4 linked regions of the Drosophila melanogaster genome follow. Changing the gene in region 1 together with any one later gene gives a genetic interaction. Each region holds a gene or a part of one and is shown in the gene's direction. Other genes may lie near its edges.

What was found.
Region 2: of Wnk (region 1) and fray, changing one suppresses a phenotype caused by changing the other (phenotypic suppression), as found in Drosophila melanogaster (2 studies listed by BioGRID).
Region 3: of Wnk (region 1) and dsh, changing one suppresses a phenotype caused by changing the other (phenotypic suppression), as found in Drosophila melanogaster (one study listed by BioGRID).
Region 4: of Wnk (region 1) and Awh, changing one suppresses a phenotype caused by changing the other (phenotypic suppression), as found in Drosophila melanogaster (one study listed by BioGRID).

Annotation. Positions count from the first base shown.
Region 1 is NT_037436.4:21,550,267-21,558,218, reverse strand, and holds the start of Wnk (Wnk kinase), read left to right. Parts: upstream 1-3,290; 5' UTR 3,291-3,665; exon of another isoform or gene 3,666-3,838; intron 3,839-4,038; 5' UTR 4,039-4,075; coding exon of another isoform or gene 4,076-4,194; intron 4,195-4,625; coding exon of another isoform or gene 4,626-5,100; coding exon 5,101-6,015; intron 6,016-6,246; coding exon 6,247-6,419; intron 6,420-6,480; coding exon 6,481-7,952. Other genes in the region: CG7173 (uncharacterized protein), read left to right, coding at 459-1,928, 2,278-2,467, 2,534-2,568. UniProt on the Drosophila melanogaster protein: Serine/threonine-protein kinase component of the WNK-SPAK/OSR1 kinase cascade, which plays an important role in the regulation of electrolyte homeostasis and regulatory volume increase in response to hyperosmotic stress.
Region 2 is NT_033777.3:18,578,396-18,586,309, forward strand, and holds the start of fray (frayed), read left to right. Parts: upstream 1-2,820; 5' UTR 2,821-3,075; coding exon 3,076-3,109; intron 3,110-3,883; exon of another isoform or gene 3,884-3,959; intron 3,960-4,188; exon of another isoform or gene 4,189-4,310; intron 4,311-6,077; exon of another isoform or gene 6,078-6,191; intron 6,192-7,484; exon of another isoform or gene 7,485-7,672; intron 7,673-7,883; coding exon 7,884-7,914.
Region 3 is NC_004354.4:11,352,350-11,360,625, forward strand, and holds dsh (dishevelled), read left to right. Parts: upstream 1-3,531; 5' UTR 3,532-4,004; coding exon 4,005-5,876; 3' UTR 5,877-6,375; downstream 6,376-8,276. Other genes in the region: CG1737 (uncharacterized protein), read left to right, coding at 1-2,186; Pa1 (PTIP associated 1), read left to right, coding at 6,980-7,188, 7,255-7,414.
Region 4 is NT_037436.4:3,842,700-3,850,353, forward strand, and holds the start of Awh (arrowhead), read left to right. Parts: upstream 1-3,506; 5' UTR 3,507-4,042; coding exon 4,043-4,048; intron 4,049-7,654. UniProt on the Drosophila melanogaster protein: Probable transcription factor. Required for the establishment of a subset of imaginal tissues: the abdominal histoblasts and the salivary gland imaginal rings.

The DNA of each region.
Region 1 (7,952 bases):
AACGTTCCATTTGCCACTCAGTTGCTTTCCAACCGACGGCACCGCCGAAATTCAAGAAGAAAGTAATCGGATGGATGTGGATGCTCGAGACCCTCCATTGATTAACGGTGCTGCGGCGTTGGAACCACAGGCTCTAGAAAAAGTGCCCATCTTAAGCTGATATGGCGAACCAAGTCGGTTTTAAATAGATATACATAGATAGCTGCATCTGGGCCCAGAGACGAGGCCACCACATTGTATTTGGCTGCAGTGCCGCGAGGCGTTCCATTTTTATTTAAACGACTGGCCGGATAACAAAGAAAGTGAGATCAAGTCTGCGCGATCGTGGATCGTCGAATGGAAAAGAAGCTTCGCATGTGTGCGTGGTTAATTCGAAAGAAACTTTTTTGCTTTTGGCCGCGGAACTGACAAATGTCAAATACCAATAGACCGTCGTGGAACGAAGACGAGCTTTAAAAATGACTCAGAGTCCGCTTAAGTTGGCCCCCATTTTGGAGGCCCTAGTTCTGATAGTGGTCCTAATCAACCAAGTGCAGTGCGGTGAGAATGATATGAGACAAGCGCGCATAAGGCAGTTTCTGAGTGAGAACCAGCCCCTGGCCCAGCACCATATCAAGCACAATCGGCCGCCGGGTCCCGGACAACTGCCCCGGATAAGATCGCGATCGGATAACCTGGCCATGCTTTCTGGTGGCTCCAACAAGTTCTTGCGGTCGCCGCAACCTGCCACTGCGCAGCACATCATGCGTCGCGAGCAGTTCGGGAACTTTCCTGCGAACGACCAGCTCAGGAGGTACCAGTTCGACCAGAGTCAGCAGGGCAGATTCGCCCACGTAAAGGACACTCCGGTGCTAGATGTGGGCAAAAACCAGTTCCCACTCCAGTATGTCTCCGAGCAGTACATTCAGAACTTCAAGTCCTCGCCGCGCTTCAATGGCAATGTGATCATGAAGGACACCAAGCCAGTGTACGCACCCATCCAACAGCATGCGATTCCCGTCCAGGCCTCCCAGTACCTGCACTATCCCAAGCTCTTCGGACAGCAGGGATCTCCCAGTTTCAGTGTTGTCCCTACCCAGCAAACTGCTCTCCAAAACAGCCAGTTTCCCCAGGATCCAAATAGCTACTCTGTCTACGAGGATACCGATATACCTGCGAAGCAGGCGGTAAACTTTCGCCAGGCAGTGCCACCACCAAAGGAGTCCAGGGAGGCGCAGGACTACCTGCAATTCATGAGCACCAACGAGTACTTCCTGCCCAAGAGGGATCCTGACTTCAAGAAACTGGACGCCGAGCGGGACCAGCAGAAGCTGCTCCACCAATATCCACAGCAATACAGACAGCAGCAGCAGCAGCAACTGTATCAGCAACAACAGCAGCAGCATCAGCAACCGCAGCACCAGCAGCCGCAGCAGCAACAAGCGCTGCAGCAACATGTTCCCTACAAAACTGCTGGCCTAGACAACTCAGTCTCCTCCAGTTACAATGAGCCCATACAAGTGTCCGACTTGTTCTACCAGCAAGATCCCGCTCCTGCGAATTCCGCAGTGGTTCGCGGCAGTTACCAGGCAGGTCAGGATGTCTTCGTTGTCAAGTCCGACGGCAACAAAGCCGTTAAGCATGTGGTCTCTACTCCCATGGCGGTCCAGACCACCACTCAATCGCCGTCGAAGAGCCAGCACCTCGCCAAGACCCACAAGAGCTTTACCCCGGAGCCTCTGCGATTCGAGTTCACCGAGCAAGATGCCATAAGGGGATCGATGAAGTACACCCAAGCCCCGCAAGCCAATCAGTACTACTACGAAACCGTGGCCCAAGCTCCCCGCGAGCCCGCGAAATCTCCTGCCCCGAAGATTGAACTCAGCAAGCCCATTAAGGAATACACCGATGACCCAGAGGATAGTTCCGACACTGAAAGTGGAAAGCAGGTTGGTTCTGTTTCTCAATAAATGTGAAAACCGCAAGTAGCTTATATAAGCTAGCATATTTGTTGGCCAAAAAGTGGCCACAAAAACAAGCACTTCCAACCTTTAAGGCATTTTATAATGATTTTTACGCGATTTAGTGAGTACTTAATTTCGATCAAATCGTTTACGGGTTTAAAATAGTACTCTTCTTTGAAAAAATAAACTTAAAAAAATAGTTGATTCTATCAACTCAAGCTACAAAAATTATACGACTCATCAAATACCAGTAACAGTTTTTCCTAATAAGATCAAATTCTTTTTGCTGTGAATTTAGCTCTTACATTTTTAATTTTAAATTTGCCCATTTCAGCAAGATATTCCAAAGGTGCCCACTGTGACGAGTTCAGCTACTCCTGACGATCCAAAGGACACGGAAAACTACTGCGAGAAGATATGTGCTAATGTGTACGATGAAAACGATGAAATAATCTGTGGATCCGACGGATACATGTACACGGGCGAAACCCAACTGCAGTGCTATTCGTCATGCCTCAATATAAGTAAGAGTTTCATACCCAATATATGTATTGTCTGTATATATTTTAAACCAACATGTTCTATTCCAGGTGTGACGATTAAGAGTAAAGGATCTTGCTCTTAAACTAAAATAAAATAAAAAACTGTTTTAATTTAATTTATTCTAGCGATTACAAAATATGCAAATTTAGTGGAAATGGTAAAATGTAGGGTTTTGTAAAAAGTGATTTTGATTTGTTGTTCACGTATAAAAATATCGTGCACTTATAGCTTTCCTATTCATTAAAGTGATAACTTATAAACTATTAGTGCATGTATATTTAAGTTCTACAATATATTTGTATGTATCTCAAAAATCATTCAGAGAAGTTAGTTATAATAAATAAATTAACGAATTGCAAGAAAACATTATCGAAAATCATATTTATATATATAAAATAAGAGACTATCTGGGCTTTTTGCCTTAGGGGCAAAACAAAAGAGACAGGAGCATCTTCTTGCTGAATAAGGGAAACCTGTATAAGGGTTTGGAATTTATTAAGACTTTGTTAGGTGTGGTTTTTACAGCTGTAATCTGTTTGTAATCTGTTTCATTATGGCAGGCAAAATGAAATTTAAAAAAGTGGCTTAATGCTTAAAGGTTATACAGTATTCTTAACAATGTTATAACTCGTTCGAAGAGTAACGGTCTACTGTTCAAGTTAACAGAGGCCAGGTAACATCTCTGCTAATGCGTAACATATATATTAGGCAAGCTGGTAGCTTGGGTGGCATCACCGCCGATAACACTTGTGTAACAATATGCGCTATCGATAGATCACGAACACAAGTAAACCCAGTTGCTTTGTAAAATTTTTTGTGAAAGTAAAGGGAACTTCTGGCGAAATAACTTCAATTTTCCGCTGACTCTCGCACGCGTTCAATCCAATTGACCCCCCTTGTGGAGGTGACACTATCTCCCGAAAGACTTACCAATCCCCCGTGCCGTAATATGAAAGCTTGCTAGCTCGAATTGCCTTTGAACACCACAATCACAAATTGAAATCCTCGATGCGAACGATCCGACAGTCGCAGTGCGAGCCCTAGACCCCGTCCCGGTCGTAAATCCCCAACTCGAGCACGATCCCGTCGAGCGAAGGACTTCCGGAAGGAGCGGCGTGGAAACATGACATCATAGTCGCTGCATATGCTTCCTGTCCCGAATCAAATGTACATAAATATGTATGTATAGCCAGCGTACCGCACATACGCACATATCCCTCGCGACAGAACAGAACAGAGTAGAGTGGAACGGCAGAGCCAGTGACGAACGTAGTGCAATCGAAACTAGTGATTCATGGAAAGCGCACACCTCGGCCTCCTGGAGACGGCGCCACTACCTCCTCCACCCAGCTGTAAGCGATATTTCAGACGTCGGCACCAAGCAACGAACATAAGTGGGTGTGGGAATGGTCACCTTTCCCTGCTCCTGCCCCTGCCCATGTCTCTGCCCCAGTCCAAGCCAGTTCCTCCTGTCAATAGTGCCGGAATTTAACCTTTGCTCCATTCCTCCATGCCTTCATGTACTCATTCACCGCCTTGCCTCTCGCTTCAGATTAAACGTGGTGGTCTGCTGCTAAAAATCTTGCAAAATTGGACAAACCCTCTGCGACTTCGTACGACAACAAGAGGTCGTACCTGCGAACCGTGCTCGGAAGGGAAGCGCCATCAGCGAAGATGGTACTACCTCCTGCACCACGCAACCTCAAAGGTGAGTTGGAGTCATTGCCAAAACATTTAGGGAATATCTCTATTTATTTAAATATTGTTTTTATTTAAATCAGGGCACATAACAAAAAATGATTGAAGTAACAATCGTTGTTTCATATATGCCTAAATAACGTAAAAGCTGGTTTAAAATATCCTTGTATGTAGTGTGTTAAACTGACCAAGTATCCTACAAAGGATTTGTTTCCCTAGGATACTAATTTTTAAATATGCTTCAACTGGAATTGTTACTTCAACGTCTCTGTTTTAAGCAAAACTTACTAGATAAACAACACGTAAACTGAAACCGTTTTTTCGTTTATCGAATGTTTATAAAATGTTCTTGGAAGGAAGTTTACTGAGAACTGTGGAAAACTCGACTGTTGTACCTGTGAGTCTATAGAATCTAATCAACTACTTCTATCATTCTTTTAGGAATACCTCAATTTCTAGCGAGGAGCAAACTGTGCAGGGAGCTAATATACAAAAGTCGGGACACCGTTCGTTTAATAGATCTGCCTCCTCTAGGCAAAAGCCGAACCCGACATCAAAACTAAAAGACACACTAAACAGAAAGCCCACTTGCAAGCAGGGCACACTTTCTGCACACACGAGCACTAGCAGCACCACTTCAATCCAGTCATCACCTATCGAGCCAGCTTCTTCTCTACCCACGCTGAACACCACGCCTACACCACCAGCTGCCAGCAAAAGTAACCTATTTGTGCGGGTGCTAAGACGCTTTTCAAATAACACCCTTCCCGGCAAAACGGCGTCAAGCCCGAAAAACGTGGACGACGTACCGAAAGTCAACGATAACAACAACGGCGATTTAGGCAAACAGCAATCAACCGATGTAGAGGTGCTTTGCTCTCAGGACAACCAGAGCAGGGAACAGAATGAGGACGAAATGGATAGCAAAATAGAACCTGCAGATGCCATAAGCAACCAGAAAGCTGGTCTTACTTCGGGCAAACCTAAAAAAGACAAGTCAGTCAAGGGGACGTCGCAAGCGGTTGTTTCAGACACCAAGAAAATGGAGGCCAGAAAGTCCTCCTCGGACACGGTGATCGAGCCATTGATCAAGCAGCAGGCGCCACTGCACTCGTCAAAGACCACGCCAACGACTTTGACGGCGAACTTCGTGCAAAACATTCGATTCGTCCGTAAAAATGTGGAACAGTCAGGCAGGAACACCAATCCACTGCAGTTCGTTGAACTCGAGACAGAGTTTCCTCGTGACTATGACGACAACATCGAGATGCTTTCCCGCGAGGCGGAGCATCTGGAGGAGCAGTTCCGCACGCCTACGCGCTCCAATGCTACGGATGCCACTTCCCACCATGTGGCCGGAATCATCGACAACATTATAACCGAAGCGTCACGGAGTCTTACAATCGAAAAGACTGAAGACGATGTGCCATTGAAGTCTTCTACCAAGCACTCAAGCGGCGTAAAACGAGTTGGCTTTCAAGTAGAGGATAAGGACGATACCGAAGTTCAGAGCGAAAAGCAGGCAAAGAGCTTCGACGACATAACCAAAAAAGCGGAGAGCTCCGAGGCTAGCGCAGAGGAAGCTGCTGTCACCGGGTCCTCGACAGATGCATCTGCATCTCCCCTGCCCTCCACGTCGCTGGTCTCCACCACATCTTCAGCTACATCGATAACCAAGAGTAAGAGCGATGAGGACGATGATCCGGTGGCCATGTCGCCGTGCGGACGATTCTTTAAGTACGATAAGGAAGTCGGACGCGGTTCCTTTAAAACTGTCTATCGTGGCCTGGACACGTTGACTGGTGTTCCAGTTGCCTGGTGCGAGTTATTGGTAAGATAAAAAACTTCTTAAGTTTATTGTTGTGCCATTGGGCATATGTATAAGTATTATTATTATTAGTCAAAGCAAACATGATCACAAGCTTGCATAAGCAAGTTATCAGATAGATAATAATTATCATGAATTTTTGATTGAGTAATCTTTTTTATATAATGGATCATCACAATTAAAGTAATCATTAGGTAACATGAAAATGTACAATTTTATTTACCTATTTTACAGGACAAGCAAGTAAAAAAAAGTGAACGTACTAGATTTCGCGAGGAGGCAGACATGCTGAAGAAACTTCAGCACCCAAACATAGTGCGGTTTTATACATATTGGGAGTTTCCTATTGGCCGCAAGAAGAATATTGTACTAGTCACCGAACTAATGTTATCTGGAACTTTGAAATCGTAAGCGTAAACATGGATTTTAATGGGCGAATTGTAAACATAAACTCTTATTTCCTTATAGCTATTTGAAACGATTCAAAAAAATACACCCAAAGGTATTGAAGTCATGGTGTCGCCAGATACTAAAAGGCCTTAACTTCCTGCATACTCGTCAATTTCCTATAATTCATCGTGATTTGAAATGTGATAATATTTTTATAACTGGCACCACTGGTAGTGTTAAAATCGGCGACTTGGGCCTGGCAACTTTGAAAAACCGCTCCCACGCGAAATCTGTGATTGGTACGCCGGAGTTTATGGCCCCGGAAATGTACGAGGAGCACTACGACGAGTCGGTGGACGTATATGCATTCGGCATGTGCATGTTGGAGATGGCCATTTCCGAATATCCTTACAGTGAGTGCAAGGGTCCTGCACAGATCTACAAAAAGGTGATATCGGGCATTAAGCCAGCGGCGTTGGCTAAGGTGGAGGATCCCAACGTGCGCGACATTATCGAACGGTGCATTGAACTTAAAAAGGAGGATCGCCCCAGCTGCAATGAACTGCTAGAATCGGAGTTCTTTGACGAAGATATCGGTATACGAGTGGAGCCAACTGCTTCGGAGCAGTTCCTTTCTGATCCGAGCATCAGCATCATCGAGTTCCGACTGCGGTTTATGGATCCCAAGAAGCGCTCGTCCCGTCATAAGGAAAACGAGGCAATTCAGTTTGAGTACAACATCAGGCATGACGAGTACGAACAGATTGCGCAAGAAATGATGAAGGAAAATATTATATCTGAGGACGACTCTCGCGCTGTAGCTCGGCTTTTAAAAGTGCAGGTGGTGTCGTTGCTTAAGGAACGTGCCCAGCGTCAAACTCAAATCAAGCTGCAAAACGAGAAGTCTCGTTTGGAAAAATTGGCATTGCAAAAGCAACGTGAGAGTTTGCCGACTAACGTCGATGAAGACGAGGAAGAGGAGGAGGAGTCCGAGGACGAGGAGGATGGTGTTAAATGGAATCAGCGCCTGCAGCTAAGATATGACCTGCTTAACACTGATTCAGAAACAAGCCTGGCTCTATCCACGAACAGCGTCGAACCGCAGCAGCTGTCCACTCGCTCGAACACTTCGATTCCGAACAGTGGCATTCAGCAACCTGTTCAGGTCCCAGGTCAAGTGCCTGTTTCCCAGTTGATCTCGGTGCAACCACAGGCTATTCCGTCACCGGCTATTCCCATGCAACAGAAGCCGACGGTGCACTACATTCAACCGCCACAGCTGGCCTCTTATCAAAATTCGAATGCATCGATGCAGGAGATGACCAATAACCAGGTCATTTCGCCGACAGGCAGTCAACAAATGCAACAGCAACAACCCGTAGTGGCACCAACAGTCAATCATCAGGTCATGCCGCAGCAGCAAGTGAACCAACAACAGCAACAACCACAAATGATGCAGCAAATACCCCAGCAAGTTCAAGTGCAACAGCCCCAAACTGTATTGCCTCCGCAGCCACATGAGCAGCAGCCACAGCAACAACAACAGCCAC
Region 2 (7,914 bases), on another chromosome or scaffold:
GGCAATGCTAATTAAATTTCGCTAGTCGGGGCACGGCGCCCTCAGTCTTAATTTGTTTGCATGCTCGGTCGAGCGGAAAAACAACAACAAATTGGCATAATGATCTTGTACGATCAGCGGAAACATGATGATGATCACCAGCATCGCCACGATCTGAACTGAACTGACTGACTGACATGCGGACTTGTTCCTCCTCCGTCGTTCGCTCGTTCGTTCAATTGCTATTTTGACTTTGAACTTGCGTCGCTCTGTAATTTACAATTTCTGCACCAAAGGAGAAGGCTTGCCCCAATCCGCACTATAGTACAATCCCGTACACCATTTCCTACCCACTCATGTGACGTTCAGAGATTTAAATTTAGCCACAATGACCACCAGGGAAAGAACGAAACTATCACTGGGCTCCACGCTTAATATGGAACGAAATTTCAATTGCGATTGCTATTTTTAGGCATTGTCAACGCGCCGTCTCGGCTTTACGATTTATGTACATATATCTCTCATCTTTTGCATATCGAGGGGCGGCAACATTAAGCCCCGCGATTGTGCGACTTGTGGCAAGGTTACTTCATATGAGATCTCCATACTGAACTAGGTACACAAGCAATTCCAACTTCAACTTATTGATTTTGAAACAAGAAGGCTTAATTCTTAATTGCTTGAATTGATGTTGGGTTGTCTTTACAAAATTTCTCAAAAGATCGCTGCACATTTTTGACACGCTTAATTTGTTTTTTATTTAAACAAAACCTTGCTGTCTCTGGCAATAAAACAAAAGAGCAATTAACGCGGCTCATTTAGTTTTAGTTTTGAATAATAATGCGCGACAATTATGTTTGTCATATGACTTCCGAATACATTAACTTCCTGCATTTGCGCAGCTTTTTGAACTCAATGAACTGAAATACCCTCGAGCTCGACAAAATGTTTTGCGTACAAGAATATTGATTTATTTACTGCTGTTTTTTTATTTTTAATTTCTTGCGAAAAAATGACTTGCGAGTGCAAAAGTCCCAAACGTCCTTGCCTTGAGAAATCGACCGACTGAGCAGAAATCACATGAGATGTTGACCAGCAAATTGAACCGAGCATGTGAGCATTGATTTCGCTGATGGGCGATGGCACATGGCACATATTTTGAATTTTTTTTAAGAAATATACTATGCGCATTTGTTTATACAAATGTATAGAGTTTCACGAACAACGCGTCGATCTGCAATATACTTTTAAAAATATATCTTTCATGGGATTTTATAGTATTAGACTTTTTAAAGCAAGTTTGTTCATTAAATGTATCTCGATTGCTTAGAAAACATTTTACTAGTACAAGACTATAAAGAAAATATGCATTTTAATAATATTTTTCTATAGCTGGTTGTATACAAATATACAAAAGTATATCCACTGTAGTTTTTAGTATACTAAATAGGTTCGTTTCGGTTCATTCATCATAGCTGGCCCCCAGCTCGTGGTCATTAATGAGTTTTCCTCATTTTGATGTCACCGACGTCACGCAAGTGAAAAATTTCACAGAGTTTATGACCAACGCCTAGTATTAGTATTGTGAGTAGTATATCTACATATGTATGTAGAAAGCGAAATATTTGGGGCTCAGGAATATGGGGTTCAACCTTTGGCCCACCCACACACGTGTCGAATGGCATTGGGCGCTAATTAAATCGCTGGTTTTTTCGGCTTCTTTTTTTTTTGCGCTCTTCGAGTGTCAAAACTTTTTGAGGGCGTTCGATCACTTGACTCGAATCGCCGGTGCGCATAAAAAGTAACCCAGCGTACAATTATAGATATATTTACGATTTTGCACAGCCTGACAGATTTCACACATTTCGATACACAAGCTCTGTTGGCTTGGATACAACAAATTCCCTTGTTAAAAATAAGATTAAAGCAAAAAGTAGGAAAATAAGGCAGCACACTTTGACTATAAACAAGAATTTAAAAATACACATCCCATAAGCCGTATGCAAATTGCTAAAATAATAATAACATCAAACTTGCGCATGTCTTTGTCGATGAAGAAGAATTACCTGGGTACAGTGCTGCTAAAAACCAGGGTAAACATGGTTGAAAGACGTCTATAAGAAAAGAGAGGTCTTACCAAAGACAGTCCTCTTGAGGATAGAAAGAGATACGTTGTATCTCCAAGATATGAAGAATCTACATTTATAGATCTATGAATATCCTAGTACTTACTTGTAAAAAGCAACTTTTACTCACAATTCGCGACACAAGGACTTCCTGTTAATTATAAAAGTTGGTGATATGTTGTTTTTCTATTTCGTATCAAACGAAATTTGTAGAACCCGCTAGAACGGAACTAGGAACAATTGCCTATGCAAATTCCCGAAAATCCCCTGCCGAAGGTATTTAAATTTTAAGTGGAAGCCAAGGCAATCACTCATGCATGTTAGTTATCAGCTGGGCTTTGGCCATAAAGCCCGGCAAATCCGAGCTTACGTCAACCGACATACGTAGATACATAGATACACCTGGTGTTACAGATACAGATAGAGATACAAAGACACCGATGGGGATACAGAGGCGGATACTAACTACTACTAACTAACGCCAACGCGCGTTGATGGAGGCGGCAAAATTTCGCACATTTCGTACGTTTATTTCGTCGATCGGCAACGGCGTTTTTACTATAGTATATAGTATCGCCTGTCGTCGTGTTCCGCCATTTGTAGAGCTCATTTAATTTTATTGTTGTTTATTGCTAAACGAAACGAAAGCAATGGATGGAAAGGGGAGGGGGTGGAAAAAACAGTTCATTTTAAATGTTTGATTACAACGATTTGTGAAGTTCAGTCGAATTTGTGATTTTCGCGCTGGAGGAGCGGCCCATTCAGCGATCGCGAGCAATGCGATTTGGCGAACTGCAATCGGATCGAATCCCAATCGCAGTTCCGTTGATAACTCAACTCAGTCATTCTCGAGTGTCGCGTGTGATCGAATCTACATCTGTGGCTAAAGATCTTGGCTTAAAAGCAATTTACAGCCAGAACTAAAATCATTTCAGAACTTGAGAAAAAAAAATAGTGACAACCAGACAAAATGCAGTTGCTGAATTTAGTGTGCCTCAAGCAAAGTGGGTTGAAATTTTTGAAAAATCCAACTATATAAATCACGATTACGACACTCAACTTTTCAGCAAATCACAAGCACAAACTAATTTGAAATTCATGTTATCGCCGAAAGTTATTTTCCACATTTGTCATTTATAATCCAAAAATACTGTATGTGCGTGTATTCACGTATCCTTATGCAAATAGCTAAATAAATGATACCTATTTGATAGATAGGAGTGTGAATTTTAAATGCGAATTTGGCAAACCAACTTAAATTGCCAAAACTGAATTCGGTCAGGGGAATCCCCGTTATACTGCTTGTGATTTATATCCAGTCGGGTTCGGGATAATTAAATAATTATTAAAAAATAATTGCCACAAAAAGCTTATAAACATGTCACAACGAAATTTATAATTTACTCAGCAAAAACGACTTTATTAGGATTTATTTGGCTTCCAAAGCAAAAACACTTACTGAGCAAAGAGAGTTGAGGATTCACAAAATACATAGATCAGGGGATTTTCCAAATTTTGTCAGTATATGCAGTATTATAGTATATCCTGTGAAAAGTTCTTAAATTTGTTGATCATTTGGAACCAACAGCGAGAACCAAAACACGAAAAGATCGAAATGAGTATGCGCTATATGAATTCATCAATGCCAGTACAAATACTATATTCCCAAATCAGAACAGCAACTAAATGCAAAAACCAGGAATCAATTACTCTTCTTCCACATGACGTGCTGAAAAGTCGCTGGCATCGGCCAAATTAAAAATCTAATCTAAACAAACAGTCACTTTGGGCACTTGGCACGGCTCAGTACTCATAGCCGCGCACTCATCTACTCAACTAACGGATACATACATAGTATAGATATAGTATCTAGTCATTTGTATTTCATTCTTGCGCGCGATTGCAGTGCGAACTGTGTCAACAATTAATGCGAAGCGATATTGCAACTGCAATTCAAAGTTCAAGCAACTCGTTAATGTGTCAATATTGAAATTACAAATGTCGTTAAATTCATTTCCATCGAGACGTTTTATAAATACACTCACGTGTATTTTTGTAATTTATCTGATTCTTCTATATTAAGGCTGTCGCATATTTGCAAAACGCAACAGAGTGCAATAAACGGAAAATGTGTTAAGCGAATGAGATATTTATGCGTATTCATTTACCTGAGCTAATGAGAGGATCCATTAGCTGGATTGTGAGGTGATTAGGTAACTGAATCACGCTGATTCTTAAATTGCCAACTTTAGTACACCTAAATTATAATTATATGTGTGGAAAATTTCGTTAATTGTTTTGAATGAAACAATTTATAGTTAATTACTACCATTAACAGAAGTAACACAAGCTATACGAAAACTCAATTGAAAATCGCAGTATTACATTAAATTTATTTAAAAAATAAAAGAGTTACCAAATACTTTACCAATGCTCAGAGCCACTCTAAGTATTACCAAACAACTTTGAATGTGGTAACCAAACCTTTTGCAAATTCTTGAACACAATTTTGTTTAAGATTAGAATAGAGTATATTTCGAATCTTTCTCTTGAGCTGCTTTCCATTTTCCGATCCATTTGGATTCATACGCACCCAAAAACCTGCCTCTTTCCGCACGGCGAGACACTTTGCCATGGCCGAACTGCATTGGAAATTATATGCAAATAGCCAACGAGACGGAGACGTTCTAAAAATAAATAGACCACGCAAAAATCAGTATCAGTATTGTGTGTGTGCGCGCGCGAATATCTTATTTTTATAAGTCTTCAGTCTTCGTTCTTCGACCATGGCGCATTTTTATGCAGAGCAGAACAGAATTTAGCGCTATGGCCAAATGCAAACTGACGATCCCATAATCAACCTATAGATACATTTGTATCTATCTAGATGTCCGCCTGGGTTTTATGGATGGGCTGTTGTGGATGCAATTTATGAATTTTCCATGATGACTGTGCGGGCTTCCCCCCACAAATTAACCCCCTTTCCAGTATGTTAACCCAGTTATCTTGCCCAGCAAGATAACGGAATGGAAAAAGAGTAAAAGCGAGAGAGAGTGAGATACTGGATTCCACTTTTGTATCTGGGTGCGGTATGGAAAGCACATACATATGTCTGCTGTATCTATGCTCCACTTTTTGGGACTCTGGGTCTTTATTGTTGCTAATTGTTCTCGCTTGTTGTTATTATTGCCGCTGGAAACTTTTTAACTTATCGTGCGCGTCAGAGCTGATAAAATCCGAGTACACGAGGCGCAGGGAAAATTGGTGGGGGCAAACAAAAGAAAAACCTTACAAATTGTGCAATTGCCAGTGGGTCAGCATCGCCTAAACATCGTGCAAATAACATGGAATGTAGAAAAAAGTAGTTTCTATATTTTTGAACTATTATTCCAATTTATTTTTACCAGAAACAAAATTGAGGTTCATATTTAGCATTTTGAAATTACAGTTTTTATTCAATTTTTTTTTTTATCGAAACAATTTTTTATCGCTAATAACAGATAGTTTTCATCTATGACGCCCACTGTGCGGCTCTTAACCCGCTCTCACTGGCGCTCTCTACCTCTCTGCTTCCTCATTCTCAACCAGCACCCCCGCCCCACCGCCCTTCTTTTCTGTTGTTGATATTTACTCAATAAATTTATTTTTGTATATTTCTAGTTTCAGCTTTCCACACTAGCATAATACCCTTCAGTCGTTTGGCTTATGCATATTTCAAAGTACTAACCCCCATATTCGTGGAGATCTTGATTTAAGAATCTATATAAGACATTTAAATCCGCAGAATTCTGGAAAGCAAAGCTTTAAGACGAAATTATTTAGTGGTAGGGTATCCGATGCTCGCATAATACAACTTTCTGTGCTTTTCTCTCATATTCATGTTGTTTTTGCCACAAGCCGTTGTTACGACGTCGACGTCGCCTGCGCTGCTATTGGCTTTGCCATTGCGTTTGTTGTTCTGCTTTTGTGCGCTCATTTGTTGCGCGGCTTTTGAAGCGATCGCTACGCCGAAAAAACGACACTAGTCGCAGTCGCGCCGGCGTGTGGAGCAGAATACAAAAAAAAAGTAGCAGCAACGAGAATCGTGTAATTATTTCTTCAGCATTTGGCGTAAATTGTTTTGATTTCCTTGCCGAGAAATCAATAAAGCCCTAAATGAAAATTTATTGAACTTCCAAACGTGTGCGTGTGTGTGTGTGTGTGTAAAGTCGTGTGACAATGCTTATCAGTTGCACATGATCGTGTGTCTCTCCCGCGTTCTCTTCTCTCTCTCTCTTTCTCCAACTACTCTTGGTATTGATTAATTGTGAAATTTGTCTGCATAAATAAAATCATTTACTCACACTTTCCAGTTAAATTCATATTTGTCATTGATTTAAGCTTAAATTTGAGTTTTGTTTAAACGCTTTTTGTTTAGATCTTCATAGTTTTCTGTTTTTGTTTTGAGTTTTTGACTTGTCATCGAGTTTTCAAATTCCAAAATCGACGTTTTGTTTTAAATCTTCAATCACTGTCATAAGAAAAGTATTCAAGTGTATCTGTGAAAATTAGCTTAACTTAGCTTTCTCTTCTACCATTTTAAAATGGTTTTCTGCTTAAATTAGCTTTCTTAATTTTATTTTTGGTTGCCAAGTGTTTTTAAAGGCCATTTCCTGTCTCCCCCCGCTTCGCATTTTGTTTGTTGTGTAAACATTTAGATATTTTTTGTTTTCCTGCGGCGTTATTCTTTATTTGAATTGGCCTAAGTGTTAAATTGCGAAATTCGCCAAGTATGTTGTTGGTCCAAAAAGTTAGTTGGTTTAATTAAGTGGCACATGACACGTCCGATAACTGGAAACGCGTTTTCTTTATCGCTGCTGTCACAGTTATCGAATTGCTCTTGTTCTTCTTACCGTTTTTAACCGCAAGCTTATCGTGTTCGGGTTTTTCGATGTAATCAAAATGAAGGAGGCAAATAAAGGAAAGCTGAAATTGTAAACATTTAGTTGAAAACTTAATTACAATTTCCACACACATTATCTTTGTTGTATAGCTCTGTTATTTTTGTTGTCGTTATTTGTTGCTATAAATAGCTCAATGCGGTCATTGGTCCCTCTCGCACACTTCTCTCTTTCTCTCTCTCTCTCTCTGTTCATTCCATGCGATTGAACTTTTTTTATGTTGCGTGGAAGAGAGCATGAGCGTCGAAGAGAAAGACAATTTAAGAGAGCGCAGATCGCACTTATGAATACAGTCGTGGGCGAAAAAAGTTAAACAATAGCCGAACAGTCGGAATCTCAGATAGTGCTCCACACATAATATACATGCAGTAAAATCTTATCAGCAAAACGTGGAAAAATTTATCATATTGTGAAGGGGGAAGAAAGCGGGTATGAATATAACTATTCCCAGTAAGACATGTGTCGAACGTTAAACAAACGTTTTTGTAAACAATTCAGGGTAATTCCCCCAAATATTTGTTGTATTCATTCAATGTACGTGTGCGACAATATGAACTTTTTAACAACTTCCGAATGTATTATAGTCTAAATTGAAGTGATTACTAACTCATCATACACTTTAATCCGGTAATCAATCCCTTTCCACACCTTGCATTCGGAACCGGGATTCCTTCGTTAAATCCCGATATTCACAACTAGATTTTCCCAAAAACTTCCTGAATCCACCTTGGGCAGCTCGTTGATCATCTTCCACGTAGATCAGTTGACATTTGTTTAACGATAAACCAAGGCAAGGTCCCTAACTTTACCCCGTTCTGATTTTTTTCTCCACTTGCAGAGGTGGCACACATCGCCAACAACAACAACAA
Region 3 (8,276 bases), on another chromosome or scaffold:
GAGATGAAATCAGCGATATGCTGGAATTCGAAGAGGACGATGATGACGAAGTGGCGGACGCCGCCTTCAATCCGCAACTGCACAAGTCCGACGATGACGACGACGACGATATAAGCGAGGCCGAGTACGAGCAGGAGCTGCGACGCAAACAGCCGCCCGTCAAGCGTGGACGTGGACGTCCACCGAAGGCGAAAAATGTCAATGCCAATGCCAGCGCGACCAGCGCTGGCAATCTGACTTCCAGCAGCGGCGCCACATCCAAGATATCCATAAATTCGAGCAGCGGCCGCACGGCGTCCACTAGCCTGCAGCAGATGCGTCGCACAATGGCCACGAATATGGCCAAAAGCAATGCCAGCATGACAGACGGATCGAGCACGGGCAAGGGCACTGCGTCCGCCGCGGCCAAACGCAAAATGGACACTAGCGAAAGCGAGAGTCCTGTGCCACGCAAGCGCATAATCATTTCGGGCGGCTCCCAGCAGCGCAGCGGACCGCCTGTGGTGAATGGTGCCAACAGCAAGATGAGCGCGCAGAGAGCGATCACGGCGCGACCGAAGGTGGGCCAGGCGGGCAGTGCGTCAGCCAGGATGCTGCCACAGCGACGCGGCAGCAGTAACAAGATAAACTCATTGTCGAACTCCAATTCGAATTCGATTAGATCCACGCCCGCAACGCGCTCAACTGGCGGTGGTGGTGGCGGCGGCAAGGGTGACGCTAGCAATGATGGGAAAAACGATTCCGAATCGGAGGATATGCCCACATTCACCATTGTAAACATCGATGACATTATCAATCAGGACGATGTGCTCATTTCCAGATCACACACTGCTATGGCCGCTTCCGCAGCTGGCGGTAATTCAATCAAAAAGGTCGCTTTGGGCAGGCCCCGTACCAAGAATATCGGAACCGGCAATTCGGTTGCCGGCGATAAGAAATCCATCACTGTTAACAGCACGCAGAAATCCCTGTCCGCTGCTGTTAACCACAACAATACGACGGCGGGGAATCCAGCCAAGCGCATCAAGATCTTGGCCAGCAACAGTAGTGTCAATACCAAAATGGGACCAGTGCATATCCAGAGTCAACTGCCGAAGCCCCGGCCCAGGATACTCAACGCGGAAATGGGCAAGAAGACGCAGTCGATGAAACCGCTGATGAGCATGGGCAAGGAGCTCTGTCCCACGGACGTCGACACCGAAGAGGACGATCCGGATCCAGATCTCGATTTTGATATCGATAATATACCGGTATCTATTGTTACCCGTAAGAATGCCAATGTCAATGCCAATGCCAAGTCCAAGCAGGTGACGACAACGACGTCGGTGGCGGCGTCGGCGGCGATGACGTCCGCTCCAGCAGCGGTAGCGGTTAACAAGTTGAACAACAATCGGCGCAATGTGCTGTCCACGACAGCGTCGTCGGTGAATGCGCTGATTGCGGACCGGAGGCTGAGCAATCTGCTGGCCGATAACGATGTCCAGCCGGTGTTCAAGAAGCCGAGCCTGGTTCCGCAGCGTCGCAGCAAGGAGAACCAGCAGGAGCAGCAGCGCGACAAGGAGCTGACAACGCTGCGCGAAATATTGCCCACCGGCGGTGGCATCGACGATGCCAACAGTCCCAAATATTTTCCGCCCGAGACCACAACGTTTCACGAGGAGGATGGTCGTGTGGTAAAGAAGATCACCTGCTATGAGACGTGGCATGTGGTTAGCACGGCCAAGGATATGTTGTCGAAGATGGCGCGCCAGCAGCGCACCTGCCTGGAGCTGGCGCTGGTCAAGCTGGCCAATGTGGCGTCACGGATAAAGGTGCCATCGGGCAAATGGACCAGCAAGGTGACGCTGTACAAGGTCTCGCCGTCGATGATGCCCCGCCAGACAATGACCATCTTTACGGGCGATCTCAAGGCGTACAACATACCCGAGGAGGACCGTCACAAGTATCAGCCGTCGTGCGTGCTCTTCCGGCGCGTTGTCGTTGACAAGAACACGTGCCGCGTGCCCTACGATCGGGCCGTCATCTTCAAGAACAAATGCTTCTATGCGAACATCGATGGCAAGCATGTGAATCTGTTGGGTGCCCCCGAGACGGTTGCCACCATCAAGGATGTGGAGATCCTGCTGGATATCGTCGATCGCCTCTCGATCAGCAGCAACATTGTCGAGCTGGTCAACGCTAAGTGAGCGTGGAGGCCTGGTCCATGGTGGCCACAGGAAGAGCACGTATCACATTGTAAAAAATAATTCACACACAGCACTCCCCTCCCCATCCCCATCCCCCTCCCCCATACACATACACAAACAAACAAAGCGGACACTCGATAATTCGTTTTATGCTGTAGTTGTAATAAAACAGATACAAGTTTTTTTTTGTAAAACCATTAACTTAGTTGTAATAGCTAGTGTAGCGTAAATTTATATATATTTATATGTATATATATATATGTATGTATATAAATATATATTAATATATATACACGTATATATAATTATATATTTATATATATGAATATATATATATATATATTTATATAAATTTTTATATATATATATCTCGTATATTATAAACAGCGGACGGACATACATAAATACAAACGGCAGATGTATCTATGTAATATAAACTAAACTAAAGAAAACAATTAATTGTAAAATGCTCGCCCAACTCTCGAAGGGATTGCGAAGTTCCGGGCGGTCGAGGTATATCAATAATGATTTTTATTTTAAATGCGTTGGAATACATAGCCCCCCTCCGCCTTCCCCGCGAGTCCCGCCCCCTTCGAAATCCTTTTTTTTTAAATTGCTATTATCGTAGTCGATTCAATAATATAAAACCGGGCGTACATGTGCCTACGCCCGCGTGGAGGACTAGCCAGTAAGTTAGTCGAGTGTATATCTAAGTGATCCCAATTCAAAGCATACAAATAAAAGAGAAAACTGATTTAAATAACGAGCGCCATTGCGTGATAAATGGCGGGCGGGGTTATCTGGAAATCGGGCAGCTATAAATAAACTGCGGCCAACGCTAGAGATTTTCGTGTGAAAAGCGAAAGAAGATAAGGAACGCAGGCTTCAAGTGGATGGATGGATGAGTTTCCTTGGTCAAGTTTCCATGACAAGGATAAAGACTCTACTTTTAAACAGGACACTCTTCAACTATGCTACATCATTATATGGTAAATTAATACAATTAAGAGTTCAATATAGCTGTAGTTTTAGATTCTACATGTTTTATGTAATAGAAATTGCTATTTTGTTAAATTATAATAAATTTATTGTTTTGAATAAGTATTCAAATTAAACGATATTTATCGATAACTTTGGTATTTAATTTTAAAAGTGTTTGAACTACATTCAAATTGTAAAGCAAATATCGTTAGAGAGAGCATTTCCAATAGAAACTAAATACATTGCAGTTTTTAGTAGTTTTCCATACGCTTTTTCAGAATATTCGTTTGAGAAAATGTTAAGAATGTTCGAATTCGAAAGGGTCTGGCATCGCCGGCAGTGTGACCAACTGCCCGGCGCTTTGGCATTCCGTGCGTGACGAGCGGCTAACACACTGTTTTTTTTTAGTCTCAAAATTCTAACAAATTTATTGATAAACTAGCAATATGCTCGTTTCGCCCTGCCCCCGCTGCGTGCACCGACATTAAAGCGCACCAAATCGTGCTAATGGAGCAATATCAACGCCGTGCAAATCGACGAATTAACAGCCGCCGCTTCCATTGAATCGAAATACCCAGCCCAAAAAAAAGAGAAAGAAAAAGTAAAAGAAACGCGTGCGAGAGCGAGAGGGCTAGAGCGACCAGGGGGAGAAAAGCAAAATCGAGTGAATTTTGTTTGTTGTATCGGCTTTTCCCTGGCTTAATCCCGTTTTCCCTGTGATTTTTCCCCACCAACTTCCCACGCCACCTCCCCACCGCATCCATCGCATTTCGTTTTGATCGCGTTTTATCGCGTCGAGGAGTTTTCCCGTGGATTTCCGCAGTCGGCGCAGCTAAAATGGACGCGGACAGGGGCGGCGGGCAGGAGACGAAGGTGATATACCACATCGACGATGAGACGACGCCGTATCTGGTGAAGATCCCCATTCCATCCGCCCAGGTGACGCTGCGCGATTTCAAGCTGGTGCTGAACAAGCAGAACAACAACTACAAGTACTTCTTCAAGTCAATGGACGCCGATTTCGGTGTGGTCAAAGAGGAAATAGCCGACGACTCCACCATACTGCCCTGCTTCAATGGGCGAGTGGTGTCCTGGCTGGTCTCCGCCGATGGTACCAATCAGTCAGATAACTGCTCCGAGCTGCCAACCAGTGAGTGTGAATTGGGCATGGGTCTGACCAACAGGAAGCTACAGCAGCAACAGCAGCAGCATCAGCAGCAGCAACAACAACAGCAGCAGCAGCACCAGCAACAGCAACAACAACAGCAGCAGCAGGTGCAGCCTGTCCAGCTGGCGCAGCAGCAACAGCAGCAGGTGCTCCATCACCAGAAGATGATGGGCAATCCGCTGCTGCAGCCGCCACCGCTCACATATCAATCGGCATCCGTGCTCTCCAGCGATCTGGACTCGACCAGTCTCTTTGGCACCGAATCCGAATTGACGCTGGACCGCGACATGACCGACTATAGCAGCGTTCAGCGATTGCAGGTGCGCAAGAAGCCGCAGAGGCGCAAAAAACGGGCGCCCAGCATGTCGCGCACCTCCTCGTACAGCTCCATAACCGACTCGACCATGTCCCTAAATATCATTACCGTCTCCATCAACATGGAGGCGGTCAACTTTCTGGGCATATCCATTGTCGGGCAATCGAATCGCGGCGGCGACGGCGGCATCTACGTGGGCAGCATCATGAAAGGCGGCGCAGTGGCACTCGATGGACGCATCGAACCGGGCGACATGATCCTCCAAGTGAACGATGTCAACTTCGAGAACATGACCAACGACGAGGCGGTACGTGTGCTGAGAGAAGTCGTTCAGAAGCCGGGACCCATCAAGCTGGTGGTGGCCAAGTGCTGGGACCCAAATCCCAAGGGCTACTTCACCATTCCGCGCACGGAGCCGGTGCGACCCATCGATCCCGGTGCTTGGGTGGCGCACACTCAGGCCCTCACATCGCACGACAGTATTATTGCCGACATTGCGGAGCCGATTAAGGAGCGTCTGGACCAGAATAACCTCGAGGAGATCGTTAAGGCGATGACGAAGCCGGACAGCGGCCTGGAGATCAGGGATCGCATGTGGCTAAAGATAACGATTCCCAATGCATTTATCGGCGCCGATGCGGTCAATTGGGTGCTGGAGAATGTGGAGGATGTTCAGGATAGGCGGGAGGCGCGAAGGATCGTCTCGGCGATGCTGCGCAGCAATTACATCAAGCATACGGTCAATAAGTTGACCTTCTCGGAGCAGTGCTACTACGTGGTGAACGAGGAGCGCAATCCCAATCTGTTGGGCCGAGGACATCTGCATCCGCACCAGCTGCCGCACGGGCATGGCGGCCATGCGCTTAGCCATGCGGACACCGAGAGCATCACCAGCGACATCGGGCCGCTACCGAACCCGCCCATTTATATGCCATATTCGGCCACGTACAATCCAAGTCACGGCTATCAGCCGATCCAGTACGGCATCGCCGAGCGACACATCTCGTCGGGATCGAGTAGCAGCGATGTGCTGACCAGCAAGGATATCTCGGCGTCGCAGAGCGACATCACCTCGGTGATCCATCAGGCCAACCAGCTGACCATCGCCGCTCATGGCTCTAACAAATCATCCGGCTCCTCCAATCGGGGCGGCGGCGGAGGCGGTGGCGGTGGCGGCAACAATACCAACGATCAGGACGTATCCGTATTTAATTACGTATTGTAGAAACCTTTCTTTTTGCAATCAAATTGTGTTTTTAATTAATTAAATTAAATATGTACGATTATTCTTTTTTATATACGAGTATACAAAGCAAGCAAACAGCAAACCACAATATAATAATTATAATTATAATAATAATAATAATAATAATTATAATAATAATAATAATACTTATGTATATGTATGGTATGTGTAAGTCATAGAAAAGAACGCTAAACACCCAGCCGCAACGAGTCAAGGATCAGCGAGGGCTCGTGAGGCAGCAGGAGGATCAGCACAGGGATATCCGTGTCCGGCAGCAATCGGTTGTGGACCCGATCAGATCAGATCAACTGAGATATATGATATATGATATATATATATATATATATATATATATATATATGGATGATGCGGAGCGGAGCGGAGGAGCAGGAACGGCAGCATGACGGGCGAGAATGATTTTGAATAAAGTTCTAAGAATTTAGTAATCACAAAGTAAATAAATACAAATAAAATGAATAATCGATGGCTTTTCCATATGCATGAGATTGGTTTCTTTAACGCATTTTAGCTGTTTTCAAGTGCAAATCAAATTGCCAAGAAGACTTTTAAAATATTCCTAAAACATATTAGCGTTTGTTCGTAATTTGAGGAATATACATTAAAAAGGAAGTCTAATTTTTGTTAGTTCTTATTTCTTTGTACAGATTAACAATATTTAAACACATACTTTCCATCCTAAAAAGTAAAAGTCTCAACAAGATAATATTGTTCTTCCCCCTAAACCAAACAATGCGCCATCGAGAACAATCCTCGAAGTTGTGTGCACTCGGAGCGGAAACATTCCGGGCATGGGTGTGCACTTAATAAAGAAGAGAATAATGAAACCTATAAATAGAAAATCCATTTCGAGCAGCAAATGTGTTCAAATCAACCGCCCAGCTCGGACACTTTGCAACACTAAGCCCGAAAATCGATAGCAACGAACGTTCGATAACTGTTCGATAAGCACGCCAAAGCAAACTATCGCTTTCATTCCAGAAAGGTCGCGAAACCAATAGGTTCTATTGTGGAAAGAAACGCAAATTTCCAGTTCATTTGGATTGTTTAAATCCGAGAAAACGATGGCAACGGATGTGGAGCCGGCGGCGAATACGGCGGACAAGTTCTCCGCCAACGCGGAGGAGCTAGAGGGCTACTATCTGATGCTGGAGGCGGGAAATATTCCGGAACTGCAATGGCAATTTCCGGGACGCAGGGCTCCATCGCCGGAGGCGGGATCTGGCGGCAATAGCAAGGAACTCGAACAGGCCACCGACGCCATTGAGCAGGAGTAAGAACAAGTGCAGCACCATCCGAAGGTTAACATAACTTATGATTGATTTTCGTGTCCCCGCAGACCGCAGAAGGCCAACGACTTTGATTTCAGCGACGATGTGGCCCCCACCCAGATGCGCGTCCGCAGCCAGACGTCCACGCCCAAGTCGGCCAAAAAGAAGACGGCCAACTTCGCCGGCGTCATGGAGACGCTGAAGAAGAAGAATGCCGAGAGCTCATAGCACCCGCCGAAATTCTGATGCTGATCCGGTCCAGGCAATCGGCTGCAGATCGTACTCTATCGCCATGCGGACTAGTCTATAAGCATCAGTCGTTTTACAACCATCGACAGGATGGGCTGTGGAGCTCTGCTGCAAATCGCATTAATGTAAGGATTTAGAGAGAGTTTGAACTTCAATTTACTTAAGATTTAAATTACCATACTTATAGTTAGCATTTAGAGAGTTTGAAGTTTGAACATCAAAACATAAGCTTATTATGACTTATTAGTCAGCATCTAGAGAGGAAGTTTAAACATCAAAACATAGGCATATTATGACTTAATTACCATATTCATGTGACTAGCTTGTAGCTTAAATTGCAGCAGTCTTTGGAATTCTAAAAAACTTTGTGAACCAACAAGTTGCAACTCAGAGAAGTTTGAACTTCAATTACCATATATGCATAACTAGCTGTTAAGGATGTTAACTCCCATTGCATTGGTCAGTTCTTCATTTTAGACTAAGAACTTGTAATTGAGAAGATAGCATAGAACTAATCAACTTATGTTTAAGCAGAGGGATGTGTATGTGATCCTTAATTAGCACGTGGGAAATTTACGTTCTAAATGTTAATTGTCTTTATTTGATATATTATGACAATATTCTTGATAGTATTGTCCGAAACCGACGTTTGAAGACTAGAATATAGAATATAGGATAGAACGGATGTAAATTTAAATCCAATGCGAGTAAAGCAGATAACAAGATAGGCAACTGTAGATCAGTCAACTTCTGTACATAAAAGAACTGAATTTCACTAATAGCTGTTAAAACTAGAATATAGAATGTAGGATAGAACGGATGTACATTTAAATCCAAGATG
Region 4 (7,654 bases), about 18 Mb from region 1:
TTACCACCACAAAATGATGTCCTTTGGCACATGTTACCACAAAAACGGGCCATAAAACGAAACTTGAGCAAACAGGCGCTGGTCAGGAGTTGTGCAAACAGCCGAGAGGTAACTGGCTATATGTAGGTGCATTTACCATCTATTAAACGTTGTACGCTCCATGGTTCTAGCCCCAGGCAATTAAGACATATTTTAGGGGTTGACCAGTGGATCTTAACATCTTCATAACACGCGCGATTGCGACACAAAGCCTAAAAAAGGTAGCCACAGAAAATCGAACATGCCACCAACAGTTTTCCGAAAGACCTGTCCCAAAAACCCAACCAACCGACCAACAAAAATAACTGAAAACGGAGCCAACAAATTACCCTGAAATTTTCAGTGATCATAGAAAACGAGCACTGGGAGAAATTCTTTCTTTACAAGCTATCTATCTTCACCTATTTAATTATTTTCTAACTCTTTAAGGGCACATATATTTTCTCGGTGCATTTTCAACTATGAAGAGAGAGTTTCTTTTGGTCATCCCTTCCATCTTATCGCCGCGATCGGTATCTGCTTGGAGATGCCCAGCACATAAATCTGCCACCAAAATGGGCAGATCCAGAGGGAGAGGCCGAAGAAACCAAACCCAGAACCCAAACCCAAAAACCAGCGACTGCGACAGGTTGCAGCTCAATAAAGATCCAAATAAATATAATATCGCTGGTCTATGAGTCGAACAATGGGAGATATGAGAAGGATGTGTTCATTTAGGGTTCGCGGGTTCCAGTTCCATTTACCTGCCCGGGTTTCAACCTGTTCGAGGGCCAATTCGAAGGCGGTCGAAATCAAATGGCCAAGGCTTTTGTAAACGGGTGACATTTAAGAATTATGGCATGTAAATGGAAGGCATTCCCGGAACGGCGATGCGATGACAGCATCTCTTTCAGAAACCCCAGCCATCGGATTATTTTTTGATCGGGGGGCTACTGTTAATCAATTTAGAGCCTCGAGGGTCGAGCTATTTTTATTTCTTTCCAAAGTCAGATGCGGTCCAGGATAAGCAAAAGGCTGCGCTTCGATGTGCTGATTAATGGGCGATAGTCAAAGGTATTAGGGAAAGTATACAGATATGATTTTAATTAAGACATTTCGCTTTTAGTTTTGATCCAAATGAAGATCTTAATATGCACTATATGGCAATTGTATGAAAAAGTAGCAAAATTGCATGTTAACTGGATCATTTTATCGGTTTAATGTGTAATCTTATTGTAGTATTTCTTCTAGGCGCTCTATTTCCTTTAATTCCCAGTTTTCAGAGCGCTTTTTTTGCAGCATCCCACGGGGCGTATGCGTGTTAAAGCTACCAGCTGCTGTCGGACTTTTGGCTGCCTTTTGATAAATGCACCGCTATTAAAGTGCCGCCTTTGTAATGCGGAAACATCAAAGTGCACTTACACACACGCACTGCAAGGCAAACATTTGCATTCACACACACACAGGCACACACTGACAGAAAGCCATAAAAATCACTTTGTAGCCATGGAGGCGGTGCATCAGCGCAAACTATGCAACAACAACAGCGAGAAAAAGTGCAATGCAATCAATTCAAAGGGGCGAAAGGAGAGCGGAAAATTCAGCGTGAGGGGGAAATGGGGGTGTGAAATTACACTTGAAAAAATATGACCAACTTGCTGACGAAATGGAAATTAAACAACAAATGACAATACCCTAAAGCAGTTTGCAGGTTTTATGACAGATATTTCTATAAATGGTTAACTTTAAGCTTGAAGCTTTTATTTAAGTATAGAACAGTTTAAAGATATATTAATTTTTTTCCAGTGCAGTGACAGGAGAACGAGAGCCAGCAGGCAGCAGCATTTAATCCTGCAAAAAAGGCATTGCGAGGCACCATAAAATGATGTTAATCCTTAAATAACGTGAGCAAAGCAAAAAGCGGAGAAAAAGTGGTAAAAAAAACGGGGGCAGGCAGAAGGATTGGCGAAGGAGGAGGCGGTGGGGGCCACTCGACTGGATGATGGCGACAGCCAAATGCCAATTGAATGCCAAGCGGCTTTAAGAGACAGCCCACGATCAAAGAGACAGTGAATGAAAAATGGTGCAAAGTAATGGTTAAAGTGCTCGAAATGGAAATCCTCAAGGGGATCGGTGTTGCACATAAAGCTTAAACTCAGGCTTAAATCAAAGTATAAAGGGGACAAAGGAAACTGGAGTAACTTGAAGAGTTATTTAGCACCAAGGAATCATTAATAATAGTACTTTCTTTAAAAGTATTAATATAAAAGCAATATATTGTTATTGTTGTTATATTATTATTGTTAAAGCCATGCAATTTAATTTTATGTTAAATAAAATAAAATGTTTTTAACTTTAAACCTTTTTTTCTTTGAGTCAGTCTGCTGCGCTATCATGTTTGGCATGCCATCACAAACAGCCAACAGAAATAAAAAATATATAACCGAAAAGACAGCAGCATCCACTGGCATCAACTCACTTCCCCTCCATCAAGCGGTTTGACCCCAAAAAGTCAAGTGCGGCGGAGCTCGAGTTCCGTTTTCCCTCTCCCTTACTTCCTCCCTCGATATTCGGGTTTTCCTGGACTTTTACTCACTCAGGCAGCAAAAAAGTCAGCAGGAAAAGCAGAAATGACAGTAACATCAGTTGAAGTCACGGTGAAAATTATAGTAACAACAATATACTTACTTGAAAAAGCAAAAGTGGCAGTAACAACAGCAATATTATTGAAAGGCACAACAATTCAAGGAGAATCTTAAGTGGAAATATCCTGAGTAAAAGCAAAAGAGTTAGAAGCAACATCTGTTCCAGTAAACGCAGCAGCATGACAACTGTTACAACTGCAACAGGAGCAACATTGGTAGCTTTTCTAGGCAAAAGTAACCACAACAGTGAAATCTTTTCTAGGAAAAGCTGCTACAACAGATACTGCTTTATAAAGAACAAAAGATACAGTAACAGCAGCCACACGAGTCTCAAAAACAGCAGCAACAACATCGAAAGCACCAGCAATATGACAGAAATTCCTTCGAGTAACAGCCATATCAGTAGAAATGGCAACATCGTCACCAGAGCAACACCCACCCAATTCGCGGCACGATTTCACTCCGAGTTTCGACTCGATTCAAGTGGCCAAGTTGGCACGCGCCGGCGCACTCAATTGGTGCACAGGCGGCGCGGACTGGGAAAGCACTCAAAATGGGGGACACCACTGCGGAACTCGTTATGCGGGGCGCAAAGGGGCGTGGCCAGGCGGGCCAATCACCACCATTCCCGTTGCGCCGACGACAGATGTGCGCTCAAAAACCAGTTGAGCGAGTTCTCGAGTCGAGTTTCGAATGGGACTGACTGGTGGTTGTGGTTGTGCGTACGGCTGGTTCATCATCATACCTGTGGTGGTGGCGGGCATGCCATGAGCATATGGAAACCGGGCGTGAGCCGAGCCAGTTGAGCACCACCACCAGATCCCTGAGCTCGAACCCCGAGCGCCGGCAGTTAACGCAGTGGCCTCGAAGCTGTAACAACATCTCGCGTCCGCTCGATCCGCTCGATCCGCTCCGCTCCGTCACGAGAAAAGCGAGAAGCGCTCAGAGTATCTGCAGTGAAACGTGTTATCGTGATAAGGTTCTACGAGTATTCCATGCCATAAGGTGTCGCACATTATATTATTGAAATCGAAACGCAACATTCGCCGTCGGCTAAGAAAGTGAACTGTTATCGAATGTGCTAATCAAAAACAAAAAAAATGTTGCAAGCGCCTGCAAATTGATTTCTATCTCGGATATGCGAATTTACACTGGTTATTAATAGATCTGGTTTAAGAATACGATTATATAAGCATCCTATGCAGACGGCGGCTTCCGTGGGACGCTTGACAAACTGATCAAGTCGTCGTCTTTATCATCTATATCTCCTCATACTGGCTGCGATCGGGCTCGATATCGATTCCCAGGCTAAAGCTGGCGACAGATTTTCGAGCAAGATACTTGGATTAACAACCGCCAAAATTGTGGAGGCAATTAAAATGAAGGTGAGTCTCGATTGCTTTATAAAAAGATAGATTGAGTTGTAAAAAATCAACTTTATTGCTATTGGAAAGAGGAAAGTTATCAGTCTGTGTATTATAAATTTCTACATTTTTGAATAAAGTTAGTCTTTAATATTCTCTATTAAATTAGACTGTAAGTGTTGCATGTTCCACCCGTATTGCTCGGCGTTTGAGCGGTCTGTTTGCACACCCCCTCAAAATGAAGTTTCTGCTTTCCTTTTTAATTGCTGGACATAAAGTCCAGTAGACCCCGAGTGACCCACAAATCAGTTTTTTATGTAAAGTTTCCTAGCCCGCTGCGAGCATATTGGGCCAGAAAACGCAACAGGCGGCGTTTGCTCGACCATTGGGAGTAAAAAAAGAAGTGAGCCGGAGTTAAGACAAAAACCGGAGCAAAACAGTTTCAATTCAATTCGAAAAAGCCAGCACACTAATAGCGGCTGGAAAACGATGAGTTTTCAAAAATATGGAGACGACACAGGGCGGTGAATATGAAAAGCACACAAATCGCACAGTGGGGTTCCTCCCATCGAAAACACTCAGCGAATAAGCCACAGATCGCAGCCCACACTTTTGGGTATTACTCGAATATTGGCTGTGAAATGAAGGCTGATATTCGGATGTATCTGCAACCAAACCCCAAAAATCATATTCAACTTGGCCTTTTTTTTTTTTTGTTTTGTATCTTTTCAAGACATTGCATTGATCGTGTCGCCTAGATGATGTTGCTCAATCCCTTGTTCATTCAACAACACATATTTTTTGGTTTTTGAATTTCGAATTTGATTTTGACTTTGATTTTATTTCATACCCAGTCCGAAAACGTTTAATCGATTTTTACACCCGCTGTGCGACGGGCTTTTTTTGTTGTGTGTGTGAACCACCCACAGGATTTTCGAAAAATATTTGCCATGAGTCTGCAGAGAATCGATCATGATTTATGCTCGCCGATGATCGATTTACCATGGCTTTGTTCGACGAGCATAATTTTCATTACCATAGCAAATTGGACAAGGTGCTGACGCTTATTGCTCTGCGATATAATTTTAATCGCCCGATTTTATTTAGCTAGATTTCTATACGCACCACGGTCATAGGGGGAAAAATCAGATCAGCGGGGGATCCGCTTACAATTCGAAGTCCAGAACTCAAATGTCAACAGTTCTGAGGTGCCGTCGATGGTCAAGGGGCATGGGGGATTCTCGGCGAGAGACCTTTTCTTGACATCATCGATCTTGACCCGGCCCAGATGTTGGTGGATCCCCCCCCTTCCACATGTCGCCGCCCCGCTTTATCATCCAAATCCAAATCCGAAAATGACGCCACTAGGCGCTGCCTTATGAATATTCAACAAAGTATGGAGATGGAGTCTTTTTTTCCCTGCTCTTAGGTAGTCAGTCGGAGAAAGAGATATAAAAAAGGCATAAATATTTAAGCGCTTAAATGTCGAATGCCTGCGAAGCAGCTATAAAAAACGTATATACATATTTCAATAATCGATTTTTCATTAATAATTCACAAGAAAATTGAAAGATTGGAAAAAACTAAACCTCCCATAAATAGATACACCAAAAATGTTTTGTGTAAGAAGTCGTTGACGCCTCCATCTGCGGTTCGAAAAAGTTTTCTTTAATTGGCAATTGGGTATTTGAAGGCGAACTAAAAATACAGAGTGATTACAGAGATTTTAGGATTTGACTTTCTATATCTCCATCTACTTATTAGCTTTGAGTGTTTGACAAAACACCTTTTGAGGATTACACGCCTAACTCCATTGTCCCATAATCCCGCACAAGAAACCAAAAAAAGGAGCGCGTGCCGATGGCCAAGATTTTCCTACTTACCAAAAGGATGTTTTGCAAAACCAGCTGCCTGGCCAGCGGTCAGCAGATTTTTCAGCAAGCCCCCTAATAATTGGATTCCCAAACAAAGGACATTCTGAAGAGTGTCCTGTGACCACTGGTCGAAAATGCCTAATTGTCAACGCTGACAAGAAGTCTACGCCTCGGTTCTTGTCTCCTTGGGAAAACAATGGGCAAACGGAAAATGCATCTTGACTTGAGCCAATTGCCCCGATCAGGGACAAAGAGAAACAAATATCACACCTTTGTTTTGGGCCTCGAATCCATATATGTAGTATGTACATACCTATTGACAATAGATGCCAGAGTTCCTGGTCAGTTTTCAGTCGGGTTGCGCATGCGAATTGCAGGAAGAGATCGCTGGGTAGATGTGTCAAAATCGCAGCAGCATTTTTAGCAGGTAAATGCGAGAAGTCCTCTTCGAATGAACATCGAATGCAGGAGGCACAAGAGGTCCTCACAAAACCGCACAATGGAAGGCGAGTCGAGTGTCTTGCCATTGTTCGTTCGAGTGCATCCACAAAATAGTCCTTAAAGGACGCTTAGTTGGCCTACAAATGATGCATGGCCCTTGGGCCTGTAAAATTGTAAAATGCCACAAATCATTGCCACTCCTGTCTGCCGGCAACTCAAAAAAAAAAAAAAAAAAAGAAATCAAGGAAGATAGAGACCCAAACCCGCCCCTGGAATTTACGAGCCAACCCCTAAATGCAAACCATTCGATTTCGATTTCTGGCAAAAAATTCCAATAAATAAAATAAATGTCCTTTTGCCAGTTTGTCGCCTGAAAATATTCGCATTTAATTGCTTGACAATTGTAAATTGGCCAAAAAGGAATCGTTTTCGTATTACAAACTGTAGTTCGCATACTATATAAGTTATCCCACATTTTCAAAAGAACTTGATTTTAAATAAAATGTATAACACTTTCTAATATACATATGTATCGCTACAAATATGCCACTTGATTCGTTCTTGCCACTTTGTCATCAAAAAAAATTTGTTTTTAATTGCCTGACAATTGCAAATTGAGCCGATAGAGAATTTCAATATCATTTTATCGATGGCATCTACGAACAGTAGCCAAAGTGATTAGTTTTAGGGAAGCGAAACTAGTTTAGAACCTCTTTGCCGTTTGAAACTCACCGCTAAAATCATTCAAAGTCACCCAAATAAATTATCGGCTAGAACTTTGGCGGTGGCCCACAAAAAACAACTCCGGTCTTGATTTATTGGCCCACAAAAAAAGGGGGGACAGAAATACAATGGCCGAAAGCTGGAAACTGAAATATGAAAATATTATATGTGTAATTTATGCAAAATGCAGATTTAGCTAATTAATTGTGGCCAATGCTCAATAAAAAATAAGAAATCAAACACGAAATCCCCCTAAAAACTCCGCACAAAGATGAGCTGTAGTAAAAAAAAAAAAGACAGACGACGACTCGAAATCAATAAAAGCCCAACTTATTGATGTTTAGTGGCTGTGACATGTTGACGAAAAGACAAAAGCATTTGGGATTTTCGGTTTCGGATTCACTCGATGCTCGAGTCTCCAACTTTATGATGAATGCCTTAAAAATGCCAAAAAAAAAGATACATATTCAAAATAAAAAGCACGAAACAAATACAAGAGAACGCGAAAAACGCGTGTCGAAATCGTTTGAGATATTTGCGGGCGATTTATTAAGAGAACTTCGGCACGGCGATTTTCTCTCTCCCAGAC